Drosophila melanogaster: one gene and its partner. The protein of the gene in region 1 purifies or fractionates together with the protein of each later gene. This does not show direct contact. Each region holds a gene or a part of one and is shown on either strand. Other genes may lie near its edges. The genes, in order: spn-A and Rrp6.

Region 1 (5,658 bases):
CGGCCGAGAAGCCCAAGAAGAGCGGCACCCGGAAGACCAAGGCACCACCGCGCCATGTGGACGGGGATAGTGAAGCAGGCGCGGAACTAGCACCTCCGCCGGCCAAGCGAAGGGTTCCCACCGAGGGTCTGGCTACCGCCGCAGCCATCCCCGCTGCTCCGGCTGCGGCGACCCCCACCTCCAGCAAGAAATCAGTGAAGAAATCCAAGCCCACGGCTGCAGTAACTCCGATTCAGAAGCGGTCGCGGCCAGTCAATGTAAGTGCGATGCAGAAATACCACCAGACATAAACTAGTATGAATTACGATACATTGATTTCCATTTTTGCCCAAACAGAACATCCGGAACGAGATGCTCATGGTGTACATGCCCACAGCCAAGTGTTTGGGAATCGTTATAAACTACAAAAAGCCGGAGAGTTTCGAAAGCGCCGCTGCCGAGGAAGCCTGGATGGAGAACGCCCGCAAAGAAGCCTTGGAGCTCAAACTGAAACTAGAGAGCGGCCAAATCAATCCGGAGTCCATGCCCGATAGGATCGTGGTGGAGCCAACACGCAGCGAAATACCCAAGCAGGAGGCTTTGCGATTCATCGAGGAGCTCATTGAGCACGAGGATGCCCTCTTCATGGAGCGAGACTTCATCCAACTTTCCCAGCAGCTGCGCGAATGTTTGGGCCTGCGGCGCGCCAATGTGGGCAAATGCCTGGAGATCCTCGAGCAGTTCAAGGAGGTGGAGTTCACCAAGTTGATGCTGCTGCGCAATCCGGAGTGCGTGGACATAATGCGCCGACTTCGCCGGTATGTGGGCAATCTGGAGCTCTGGAAAATGGACCTGTCCGACGAGGTGGAGTTCAAGGAGAGGGCGCAGACCATACGCAAGGTCTCCTCTGGCATATACGATGGCTTCAAGAGTCTCTTCAATCCGGAGCCCGAGAGCGAGGACAACTTTTGGATCGACTTCTGCGAAAAGGTAAAAATCTACAAGACCTATACGAAAAATATCAACGAAAACCTTCGCGTCGGGATGAACGAGCGCGGATATAATAGCCTGGTTTTGGCCAAGGAGGCCGCCGCTTCAGCCGGATCGGCTCCACAGTAAATGATCGAGGACCAGTTCTGCTGGACCAATTACATGATAAGGTAGGATGGGAAACCGCAAACCGCTGAGTTGAAACACATCTTCAAGAATCCTCTTTCTTGCAGTTACTCGTAAGCGTTACAAACCAGGCAACTTAAAGACCGTGCTTTGGATGACAAAGTTTTGATGAGCCAAGTGGGCTATGCTTAATTCTAGGTTAAAAATTCAGCTAAATTCCTTAATTCTGTTTGCCTGCCAGGTGCATGTCGTGTTACGCTGCGCTGATGGGGCTTTTCCTGCTGCATCCGCTTATTACCAGACTAAAAAAAAGGTTTTTGCTTCGAAACCCCTAAATATTTTCTAAGTTTGTAGATGATTTGAATAATATTGAATTAAATATAGATGGTACATACAATTCGCAACGGCTGTTTTATTTCGTCGTTATCCTAAACATTCTAAGTAAACATTAAAACAAAAAAAAAAACAATCTACGAAGTTTAATTCTTAGTCTAGGGATAAGTAATCATTAGAAAGTTAGGGAGCTCTATTCCTAGCATTAATTAACCTATAAGTGAGCACAATTAGCTCTCCCTGGCGTCTCCTATTCCATCCGGCAGAATGGCGAACATGGCCTCCGATTCCGGCAAACAGGGCGAGTCGTAGATCTTGCAGATGCGGGTTTCGCCTTTACCCTTGCGCAGATACAGCCGCGTGGTTGAGGAGTGGGCCATGATGTGCCCGCCAATGGGCTTCTTGGCATCAAACATGCCGGGTGCGCCGTCCAGCGAGGCAGTAACCTGGTTAGTAATTACCACAGCCACTCCGAACTCATCGGCCAGGCGTTGAAGCATGCGCAGAAATAAGCCCAAATGGTTTTGCCTGGCGGCCAGCTCCCCGCGACCAATATAATCGGATCTGTAGAGCGCCATGGCACTGTCCACAATCAGCAAAGCGTATCTGGACTCAAAGAGCATGCCCGCCGCCATCTGGATGAGCTTGGTCTGCTGATCTGAGTTGTGGGCACGGGTGAAGGCCACATTGTCCAGCACCTCGGATTCATTCAGTTTGTACCTTTGCGCGATGGCAGCCAAACGCTCCGGACGGAAGGTGTTCTCCGTGTCGATGTACATGCACTTGCCCTCGCCGCCCTTCTGGCTGATGGGCAGCTGGCAGGTTACTGCCAGAGTGTGGCACAATTGGGTCTTTCCGCAGCGGAACTCGCCAAAGATCTCGGTAATGGATCCCGTCTCAATGCCGCCGCCCAGCAGTTTATCCAGCTCCTTGGAGCCCGTGCTCAGCTGCACGACATCGGCACGCATTTGATAGAAGGTGCGAGCACTAAGGAAGCCCAGAGGCACCAGTTTGTTAGCCTCCGTGATGATCTGCTCCACCTTGCCGCCGCCCAAGCCGGGAATGGCCATCAGTTGCTTCTTGGTGGCATTGGCCACCGACTCCACGGTGTGCAGACTGGCCTGCTGGAGCAGCTTGATGTCCTTGGCCGTGATGCTGCCGCCCTAGGAGGAGGATATCGTAGGGAATGCCCATAATAATCCTGGTCGAGATCGCAGCCTACTCACTATTAACTTAGTCACGCTGAGTGGACCTTCTTCCTCCTCCTCTTCCTGCTGTGCCTGAACATTCGTTAGCTTCTCCATTTGACAGTTTCGAAGTTAAATTTGACTATTTGTTGTTTCGAGTTTCGTTATTTAAATTGCACGTCTTGCGTGAGAGAATTTCGACAAAGACTGCGCGGCGCGCAATTCACTGCAAAATCAGTTTGCCAATCGCCCCGAACGCACAAAACTCTATCACTACAGAGGATCCCGCTTAAAAGGAACGCGCAAGATCACCATGGCGAACTATTACTATTTCGACATCAAACTGTGAGTAGAATGATGTTCTGCGGTCATTAATATAAACTTGGTTGTTATTAAATTCAGTAAATATATTCATTTATTTAATAGTAAACTTCGGGATCCGACTGCAGTTGCTTTGACCCCATCTCTGTTTCGAAGCTGCGTTCTTGACGCCCTGGACAGTTTCTTCTGCGAGGAGAAACCCACACTGGAGATCGTGAAGTTCTGCGCCCAGCAACATCGTGTTATCTTTCGAGTGCCAGAGCAACTGCACGACATGACCCGCATATCCATTGAGCTCATCGGTCACTACCAGCAGATACCCTGTCATTTTGAGATCTTGGAAACATCCAAATCATCGCTGGACTTTGAGAAGAGCATTGAAAAGACTGTCGCGGTTGTGTCCGATGATTAGGACTAGCGAATTGTAATACTCAGTGTAATATACATTATAACCGTCATGAAGAATTTGAATTTGAATCCTAACTGATTTTACTGTGATCTGATTTTTTTGTCATTCACAACGAACTGAAATGATTTCTGTGATGGCTACTAAATGAGATTAAAAAGCGGAAAAACCCCATAAACTTGTAACCATTTTAATAAAATTGCATTTAAGTAGTTCCAATAACAATTTAAATGTTTTAATAAATGGCTATAATTTTAGCTATTTTATAACTACTCATGTCCGTTGTGAGCCGAGCTGGCATCTCTGGCGGCGCACAGCTGTTTGAGAAGCAGAAAGAAACAGCAAAAAAGGGGAGTAATTACATAAAAAAAACACACTGACCGGCAACTTTTGGACGACTTTTCCCGAAGATTCCGCCAAAAAAAGAGGGGCACTGGCACTTGCACCCAAAGCATGAGTGGTTACCAATATCTGGACGTGAAGATGTGAGTTCCGGGCACTCAGCCCCGCTCCTTAAAGCCCCGTATTTCCCACGTGCGCACGTGCATCATGCAAATATAATTAAGATAATTCACGTTTTTAATCGCCAGAAAACTCCGTGATCCAGACTCCGTGACTCTGACGCCCGTATTCTTCTGTGGCTGCATCCATAGCTCCTTGGCTAGTATTTTTGGCGAAATAGGTGGCCAGACCATACTGGAAATTGTGAAATTTAGTTCCAGCCAAAAACGCTCCATTCTCCGGGTGCCCGAGAACGTCCTGGATCGCGTTCGCGTAGCTATAGCCCTAATAGGATACTACCAGGAGGTGCCCTGCCATTTTCAGGTGCTCAGCACATCCCGAAAGCCCTTGGATTTTGAGGAATCCCCCGAGGAGTTTGTAGCATTTAACTAGCATTACCGCATCAGGATGTCATTCTCTTACTGCAAGGAGTACGGCAAGGACAAGGTGATTTTTGTGACCAAGGAGGACCATGCCACGCCCAGCACCATCGAGCTGCCGCCGCCGGAAAAGCCGGAGGGCGTGATCACCAAGGACGGCAAGATCAACTGGAGTTGTCCCTGCCTCGGCGGCATGGCCACCGGTCCCTGTGGCGTCGATTTCCGTGAGGCATTTTCCTGCTTCCAGAACAGCACCGCCGATCCCAAGGGATCGGACTGCTACGATGCCTTCACCAAGATGCGCGACTGTTTCCAGAAGTACCCCACCGTGTACAACAAATCTGGCGGTGATGACGACGACGATGATGGCTTGAGCGAGGCCTTGGACACGGATGCCGGTTCAGTTGGTGGCCAGAACGCGGATCCGCTGGCGGATGTGGGCAACAACGGAGGCGGCGATGAGCTGGTGTCCCCCAATAGCAGTTCAGTGGTGCCCAAGGCTTAGGTGGGAGTACATAAGATAAGAGCTAGGTGTGACTTCGTACAAAATAAATAAAACTTGTCATTAACTTCAATCCATCCCCACACTATCGATCGTGACTGGGAAACATTTATCAGCCAGATAGTCTGGAATTAACAGAGATATTGTTGAAACAGCATAGTGCTTATTTCAGAAATAAAAGATACTCGTTTTCTCAATTAAATTCTCGCTTTTTTTACAAATAGCGAAATACACAAATAAAAAAATGTAAATGTATCTTGTATTCACTGTAGCCAATAGGCCGTTATTTCCATATGTTGTGTATTTCTGGTATATACTCGAAGCGCTCCCACCTCGTTGGCAGTATTTTTCCACCCTGCTGCCACACTGTTTACGAAGCAGCAATCAAAGAAAACGGAAAAATAAAAGCGTATTAAGATTTCGTGTGGAAAGGAAAAATGCTGTAGGCGCAGTGTAAAATGCATATATTGCGGATAAATCGCGTTTGTGAGATGCTTAAACGCGAATTCAACATCAAGTCGGTGCAGAACTTCAAGGTGCAATAACAAAAATATCCGAATTATCGAAAAAAGCAAAGTGCAATTGGCCAGTTGAGACTACAACCACAATAACAACGACAACAACAGCAACAGCAGTGAAATAATAATATAACCTTGTGTTTTGTTTTTTGTGGCTCAAAAATCAGATATACACAAAGTTAATCGAGGTGAACGGTGTAAAAGTGATTAAATAATAACGGTTTAACAGGAAAACAGAGTTATAGTGTGTGCGAGTGTGTGTGTGCGTAGTGACAACAATACAAACGCAGAAACCAATACAAGCGCACAATAGTTTTCATACATAGGAAAACAACGAAAGTAACAGCGATAAATAATAGAAAACAACAACGAAGAGTCTCAAAAAGTGCTGGAAAAACTCGCGATAAGGAAAACA
Region 2 (8,048 bases), about 15 Mb from region 1:
ATAATTGCTTAAGATTAACATGCGGTACGGATCGTCTGGATTTTTTATGGTTCATTTAACCTACAGATACTTAGCTTGACCCCTGGAGAACTTGGTGTTCAATATCTTGGCCTTGTCTACAATCTGCTTGGTCTGATTCTTGTCGATCTTGTTAAGTTTCAAGTCCACATCCCTACTAAAAGGTCTTCGTTCTGGCTTGGAACCCGATGCAGCCAGTTCTTTTTCCTTAAATTTATAACAATATTATATCCATATTATGTTTTTAAGAAATATTTTTCCTCGTACCTTTTCTCTCTGCTCTTTCCTAAGCTTTTTTTGATGTAGCTCCACTAGGGACTCCTCTCGCTTGTGCTTCTTTTTGTGCCTCTTGGCCATGCTCTCCTGCTCGTCATCCCGCTGCTGTTCGTACTTGACCTGTGCCATTTGCTCGAGTTCCTTCGAACTGAGCGACTTTGGGCCCGATGCAGCAGCATCCGCTTCACTCTGCGGGGTCTTCGTCCAGGATGATCGATCGCTAAAGTCGGGTCGCTCTTTTCCCTGATAGAAAGTGCGCTTCATATTGCTCAGGGCGGCAAGGCCGCTCTTCAGTCCCACATCTGGCAGCTCAAGCATCCACTCTTCGCGGACATCTTGGTCTGTAGATGTACCCAATCCCCCGCCCTCCAGAGCTGCCAGTTTAAGTGCCAAAGCACGTTCCTCCAGAGCCACTTGACTGGCATTTGGCAGAGGACCAAAGGTGCCAGCTAGGTCATCATCGTCCTCAGCTTCCGCTTCCTTAGTAGGAGACTTTTCCCGGGTCAAATTGCTGGGCAGGACGGGTCCTATCATGGCCTGCGGTTGTGGGGCTGGTTGGCTTTGCTCAGGGAGTTCCGGCTGCTGGGTCTTCCTTAAATGCGGCGGTAAAGCGGGACCAAAGGAATCTTCGTTGTTTGTAGCCACATCTGGCGGAGATGCATTAATTAAATGTGGAGGTTGCGTGTAAGGCACAGGTGGCTCCTCCTCATGCTTGCTGCGTTTCTTCTCCTTGTGGCGACGCTTTTCTTTCTTGTGCTTTTTCGACTTCTTCTTTTTGGACTTGTCCACATCTTTGCTGTGCTTCTTAAGCTTCCGTTTCCTTTGCCTTTCATCGCTGGACGAATTGCTATCACTACTATTGTCGTCGCTGGACATGATCTGCAAATACAATTAATGAAATAATAAGTAAACCAAGATATTCCTGAGGTTATAAAGAGGTCCATTGGATGTGAAAAGAGAGAATCCCCAAGAAAACTCAGGTCTTTGGATTGGGCTAAACATTATATTGCAGTTAACAACTTTAAAGCTTAAAAGTATTTAACAAAATGCAGCTGGATGGGACAACTTAGTCGGTAGAATGATTGGCAGCCAGGGGATTAACCCGAAAAATAAACCTAAACAGCGAATGTCTTTTGAGCCTTGCGATAGCTATACGCCAATGACTTGAGAATGCCAGCACTGGGAATATTTTTGATCGATTGCGTGACACTGCTGCGCCACACAATGTCGTTGACGGATGCCTGCAGCACCTCCGGAAGCTGGGAGGCCATGGATAGGTGATTCACCACCTGGGTGTAGTCGCCACGACAGGCGGCATTTCGCTGCAATCGCTTCTGAAGCTCTCGGGGCAACTGTCGCAGGTGTTGGCATGTAGCCGATGAGGATTTGTCCTGCTCGAAGATTATGGCTGGTTTCCGGCTCCCTGGTTCCTGGCCCTTCATGTTTACCGCCACATAGTCGGAAAGTTGTCCCAGGGAGGGTTGGTATAGGGCGAAGAAGTCATTGATTTGCGGACTAACTATGTTGTGCACTTTCTGTTTGTTTTCCCCGAAAATCATACGGAAATCGCCCTTGTAACTCAGTCCGGCGATGGTGTGGAAAAGTCCGTAGGCAGTGAACTTCTCTGGTAAAAGTAGCAGAGCCACTTGCAGCGCGGATACAAGATTCCTCTCCAGCGCAGCCTTGAGGGGAGGATTATCAGAAGGATTGACCAGATTCGTCACTGGTTTGTGCAGCCTTCCTGCCAAGTAAAGATGCCGCCAGTCAAGCAGATCCTCCAGCAGCTCCTCCTGCGACACCACGCCGTACTTTATGGTAATGCCCACATCTGGCAGAGGCACCAACGTGTTGCAATAGACACCCGCACCCAAACGCTCCTGATACTTGGCCACAAAGTTCGGTCCCAGGTGCCTAAGGGCGGAATAGTGGTCCGGATGACGGTGCAGGTTCTCCGCATGGAAGCCCCTAGCATCACGAACGCAAAAGACCAGATCCACAACGGTTCCCGGCGGAGGACGCAGGTTGTTTCCATTGCCGACTTTTCCATAGCCTTCCTGCTGTTTGACGCCGGATCCGTAGGCGAACATATAGCTGACACTGCCCAGAGGAAACCGCGCCACCGTGCGTCTGTATAGGTCCAGCATCTTGTGCGTGTTTTACCTCCTAATTGGACTAAACTTAGGCTTTATAATTACTTTTTTTTTAGCACGTAACTCCACTTCTTCTGGATGGAGTTGATGCTTCTCGGTCAAGCTCCTCGCTTTTCGCCGGCGCCGGAGGGGTGTACACACTGGCAATCAGCTGGCTGAAAATTTTGTTCAGGGTTTCACTTGAACAATTTAGCGCCCTCTTGAAAAAATAAAAGAAAAGACCAAATATTTAACAAAGAAAATATTTATTCAGTTTAATTTATATTGAAAGGAATATATATTTAGTTCAATATAATAATAACATTTTGCTTTTAAAAAGAATTTGTAAAGTATTGTTCATCAAAGCAGGTTCTGTTTACGGTTTAACATAACGAAATATCACCATTCCAAATTTGGCTAACATTTGTAAAATACACCTTCATATCGATTTAATTCGATTGCGGTCAGCACCGTTTTAGTGCTATATAGTGATCAAATTTCGCCGCCGGTAGTGTTGACAAACTCCAAATTCAAGCTGTTGTTATTCTCAAAAAAGAAGAAGAGAAAACACGCACATTTTCCACAATCTGTAAAACGACAAAAAATTTGTACGAAAATAACACAAGACATTCGACAAGGAAACACTATACAGACATGCCGCGAACCCCGAAAAGAGTTCACCAGGAGGCCAAAGAGGAATCGGCCCAAGCAGACCAGCCGCCAAAGAAATCCGCTTCAGAAGATGTTGAGGCATTCACAAACGTGGGTAGCAATTCAGCCAGCGTACATAAGTATATTTCAATCCAATCCCTACGTGTTCTGCTCTGACATTCCAGAAAGGGTTCAAGAATGCAATCGCCGCCACAAAAGCCGCTAATGCTTTCCCACAAGGAACAGCCCGCGCCCTTTACCTAAGCTATCCAGGCTACGCACGTGTTATGGAAGACCTGACCCAACGGGTGGTGGCGCTCATCGGGAACGTGCTGCACTCCAAGGACATCAAGGGCGACATCAAAAAGTAAGCTTCTAACCATGACATTATTCGAAATGTTGAAAATACAGCACAGCCATTGAAATCAAAGTTGGTACCTGTATCTGTAAATAACAATAGATCTTTATTCTTTAAACAGACGCCAACCGGAAGAGCAGTTTGAGATGGTGCAGGAGTGCAACGACGTACTGTTCGAGCGCATTACGACTAATCTAGACATTAAAGGTGGTCTGCGAAGAAATACACAACAGGTCGTAGAGGCCCAGGTGGACGTGATGAGCAGCTCCACATCCATAGAGCCCGCAGTAGCTTCCCCACAAACCCAAGGGACTCCAAAGGCAGGCAGCTGGAACAGAACGACAGGAACACCCCAACGCAGCATGGTTTCGGCTCGTCTCTTCACCGCCAAGAACATCGTTCGGCCGCAGACGCAATTTAGGGAGCCGGTGGATAACAGTGCCCAGAATCCGTTTGTTCCAAGACTCAAGGAGAAACCTAATTCTCTTAAACCGCTGGCCCTGCTGCCCGAATACGATGATGCCGGCAATGTCCAATCCTATTTGCATCCCTACGAGTTTGAGCTGCTTAAGTTTCAGCCTCCGGAGGAGCAGTTCCAAAAACAAAAGCCAGTGCTTCCAGCTCTGATGGCAGAAACCGAACTAATGGTGGTTGACACGGTGGAAAAACTGAAGCAGGCATTGGAGGAACTGAGACAAGCGCCCCAGATCGCCATAGATGTGGAGCACCACTCGTATCGCACCTTCATGGGCATCACTTGCCTGGTCCAGATGTCTACTCGCAGCAAAGACTATATTTTTGATACCCTGATCCTACGCGATGATATGCATATACTAAATTTGGTACTCACCGATCCCAAGAAGCTGAAGATACTGCACGGCGCCGATTTGGATATTGAGTGGCTTCAGCGGGACTTATCGTTGTATATCGTCAACATGTTCGACACGCATCGGGCTGCCAAAGCCTTGAATATGGCAAGGTTATCGTTGGCATATTTGCTTAAGCACTATCTGGACTTGGATGTGGACAAGAGCCTGCAACTGGCCGATTGGCGGATGAGACCGCTTCCCCAGCAGCTGGTGGACTACGCTCGTCAGGATACCCACTTTTTGATATACGTTTACGGACGGATGACAAACGATCTGCTGCAGCAGCATGCCGAACCAGGTCTGCTGGGCAGTGTCTATCAACAGAGCACGGATGTCTGCAAGAAGCGTTATAATAAGCCTCACATCGGACCAGAATCCCATTTGGATTTAGTAAGAAAAACGAAGCGCTCTTTCGACAACCGGCAACTGTACGCACTTCGCGGAATCTTCGAGTGGCGCGATGCGACGGCGCGGTCAGAGGACGAGAGTTACGGCTATGTGCTGCCCAATCACATGATGCTGCAAATCGCTGAGAGTCTTCCAAGGGAGATGCAGGGAATCCTCGCCTGCTGCAATCCCATTCCGCCGCTGGTGCGCCAACAGCTGCACACGCTTCACCAGATTGTCCTCAAGGCGCGCGATCAGCCGCTGGTCAAAGTGAGTTTCTTGGCGGTTTCAAGCAGCGCTTGCAACTCGATCAACGTTGGCGCCTATACCGATAATTTTTCATTACCAATTAACTGTAACTAACATTGAAATGAAGAACATGTTCTGAATTCACCTTATAGTTCAATTCATTTCACAACCGCAGGTCAACTAAAATAGGTTTAATGTTACCAAGTGTTGGGGTGGTATATCTAATGTTTAATGTTCTTGACTTTACTTACGATTTTAGCCGATCCTGGAAGCCCACAGTAGTACACAGGCAGCGTTGCCTCCGTCGACCAAAGACTTTAGCAGCAAGCTCTACTGTCCGCACGATTTTTCGCAACTGGAGGAGATTCGCGACGACCTGCCAACGCTGTTGAAACGTAATTCAACTACAGGAAAACTGGAGGTGCCCAATAAGGAGGAGGTTGCCAAAGTAGATCCAACCTTAGCGGCACCAGCCATGGCTCTGTTCGAAAAGCAGTCCAAGCCGACACAAGAAGAGGAACAGCGCTGGGCCCATCTTCGCAAGGAGAGCCAGACAATGCGTATGCCCTACAAACGCTATCTCGCCATCCTACCTCTGATGGTGCAGCTGAAGGCCGATCAGTTGGCCAGGGAGCGAAGTGAGTTGCAAAAGAGGCAATTGTGTCCAGCAGCCCCAACTGTGGAGCAAAACATTAAGCTGGAGGCACACGCCATCGGAAAGGAGGATGATGACATGTACTCCGTCCCGCTGAAGGAACAACTGAAGCGCAAGCACCCACAAGCGAACGTGAAAACAGATCCGGAACAGCAGCCGACTGCTAGCAAGCGACCTCGCAAGGACGAGAATTCACAAACCAAACCGCCGGTAAAGATCGAACCAGTCGAAAAAGTTCAGCAGGCTTTAGGCGAAAGCGATGATGAGGTCGTTGAGGTTCCTATCGAAAGGCAAGCCACAGAGCCACCGAAACCATCACCGGCACAGAACAACCGCAAGCAAAAGAAAAATCAGTTCCAGCGCGGATTCAAGGCCAAGAATCGAGGAAACCACCCGCAGAGCTCCAGTCAGCAGGTTCCGCAGCACAAGGGTACAGGCAACTTTGACTACAAGAACGTGGACTTCCGGCAATTCAAGGGAGGAGCGCAAAGAGCCCGGGGCACAGAAATCAAGCAGCAAATTCGCGGCAAGGTGAGTGCTATGAAAAGTATTAACAAGCTGGCTTAGCTTTTACTGAAACGATCTCTTCACTAAACATTTATAACGCTTGTTTTTTTTTTTAGAACCGTCCCAACAATCGGAACAACAAGCAGTTCAACAAGCTTTTTACATTTAGTAATGTAAGAAAAGAGGGCAAAAAATGAACTGCAATCGTGACGAAGTCTGTAAAATATACATAACTGGTATATATGTGAATTCAATAGTAAGAATGCGAGCAACACGAAAACTGATTGATGAAACTGATGAAGAAATAAACAAGTGTTTATTTTTGATTGTTTATAAATTCTTTTCAAGTTACAAAACTATTTTTTCTGAGCTTTGCAATTTTCTAAAATATTACCTATTAAATAACAACCGTAACTATTCATTAAACTAGACTATCGGATATGTTGTTATGGATCGGTTTGTAGTTCAATATTTAAGAACAGTTTTAAGAGATGGTCATTGAAAAAATATGGGAAAACCAAATAATAATTGGGACGTGGGAAATGTCATGGTAATAGGTTTAAATTTCAAACTTATTTCGTCACAACGAATTTTGTATGATTTAATTCCTAATTGGATGGCATCTCAATTTTTCGAAAACTTTTCTAGCATTCAAACCAATACAAGAAAGGACAAAAGAACTTAATTTAAAATAGGAAAAAACCTGTTTCGGGCATTTAAATATTTGGAAGAAATACAGAAGTAAAACATGGACTAAAATAATACGATAATTTCTCTATCTAACTTTAGCTTAAGTAGGATGTGGAAAGTGAGTTCCTAAAGCTCTAGTGCTGGCCATTAGCCCCAATCTTGAGCTGAAACTACAGAGTTTTGAACATTTTGTCGCCCTCGATGTCCATGCAGTGCTCCACAACAGCATAGACCACCAGAAGTCGTCGCTCCACTCCTTTTTTATGCTTATCCGTAATCAGGGGATAGAGAGCATCCTGCTTGGATAGTCGATCGATGATTTCCGTGAGTACGCCGCCGGAAAAGACTTGCAGGCGATCCCACGTGGACTTTCGCAGACTGTAAGGTATAAACGTAAATAGTTATAGGTATTTGGAAATTGGTCGAAGACTTACAGGCAGCATTGGTAGAGTGGCGCCAATATGTCCAAGTGATCCTTGTTCGGGTTTCCGAAGGCTTTTCCATTGTCTATAAGCACCACGCGCTCTTCCCGCGTCTCGTAGTGATGCCGATCTCCATTTTGGATTAGGTAGTCGAAAATAGACGCATCTATAAGGTCCAGCAGGCGGATGGTCTCCATTTTATTTTTCAACGATCTGAAAAATAATATTTTTGATTTAGAAGTTTATAGAGTGAAGTTGAAGTGTGGAACTCACTTGCAATAGGTCATATCGTCCTCCCAGGGCGCCCGCTTGTCATCCTTGTAGGTGCGTTGCCACGGTGATCGCCGCTTAGCCAACGTACCCGGAACAATATATATGAGCACACCTTCAATGTTGTGCCGCTCATCGCCACAAACAGTCTCCTCCTCGTTGCAGTAGTGACACTTCCCGAACAGGCAGTACTTCTCCCTGCCATCCTCGTCCGTTTCGATGTTTATGGTTTGCTGGAGTTCCGGATCGCCTTTGGCATATATCTCCTTCTTCAGGTTCACCACTCGACCCACCACTATGGGCGTCCATCGAAAGTCGAGCACGGCGCCCAGATAGAAGGCATATACTTCCGCCGTGTGGCGATCCTTGCCACTGTATATCATGCCATCGATGACCTCTTCCCGCGGATACCATTGCGGCTTAAAGATCACCTTCTGCTGGTGGGAAAGGCGGACGAGGAGCTTCAGTTGCGTGCCCCGACCCAGGTTGCTCACCCGGGTGATAGGTTCGCGGCGCAGTGTTTCTAAAAGCTGTCCCATCGATGAGTCGTATAAGGGATAGACCTCG

The links.
Region 2: the proteins of spn-A (region 1) and Rrp6 purify together in Drosophila melanogaster (affinity purification with western blotting, with the first as the bait; one study listed by BioGRID). This does not show direct contact.

Annotation. Positions count from the first base shown.
Region 1 is NT_033777.3:30,053,208-30,058,865, forward strand, and holds spn-A (spindle A), read right to left. Parts: upstream 2,831-5,658; 5' UTR 2,733-2,830; coding exon 2,655-2,732; exon of another isoform or gene 2,592-2,654; coding exon 1,659-2,591; 3' UTR 1,489-1,658; downstream 1-1,488. Other genes in the region: Jasper (JIL-1 anchoring and stabilizing protein), read left to right, coding at 1-257, 337-1,098; Rpp14b (ribonuclease P/MRP subunit p14 b), read left to right, coding at 2,929-2,960, 3,042-3,348; Rpp14a (ribonuclease P/MRP subunit p14 a), read left to right, coding at 3,796-3,827, 3,933-4,236; CG7950 (uncharacterized protein), read left to right, coding at 4,252-4,728. UniProt on the Drosophila melanogaster protein: Plays an important role in homologous strand exchange, a key step in DNA repair through homologous recombination (HR). Binds to single and double-stranded DNA and exhibits DNA-dependent ATPase activity. Underwinds duplex DNA.
Region 2 is NT_033777.3:14,880,972-14,889,019, reverse strand, and holds Rrp6 (Rrp6), read left to right. Parts: upstream 1-2,773; 5' UTR 2,774-3,077; coding exon 3,078-3,185; intron 3,186-3,259; coding exon 3,260-3,441; intron 3,442-3,553; coding exon 3,554-4,958; intron 4,959-5,196; coding exon 5,197-6,123; intron 6,124-6,215; coding exon 6,216-6,296; 3' UTR 6,297-6,522; downstream 6,523-8,048. Other genes in the region: CG33332 (uncharacterized protein), read right to left, coding at 61-225, 286-1,170; CG33331 (uncharacterized protein), read right to left, coding at 1,410-2,438; CG3631 (uncharacterized protein), read right to left, coding at 6,960-7,167, 7,224-7,424, 7,485-8,048. UniProt on the Drosophila melanogaster protein: Catalytic component of the RNA exosome complex which has 3'->5' exoribonuclease activity and participates in a multitude of cellular RNA processing and degradation events.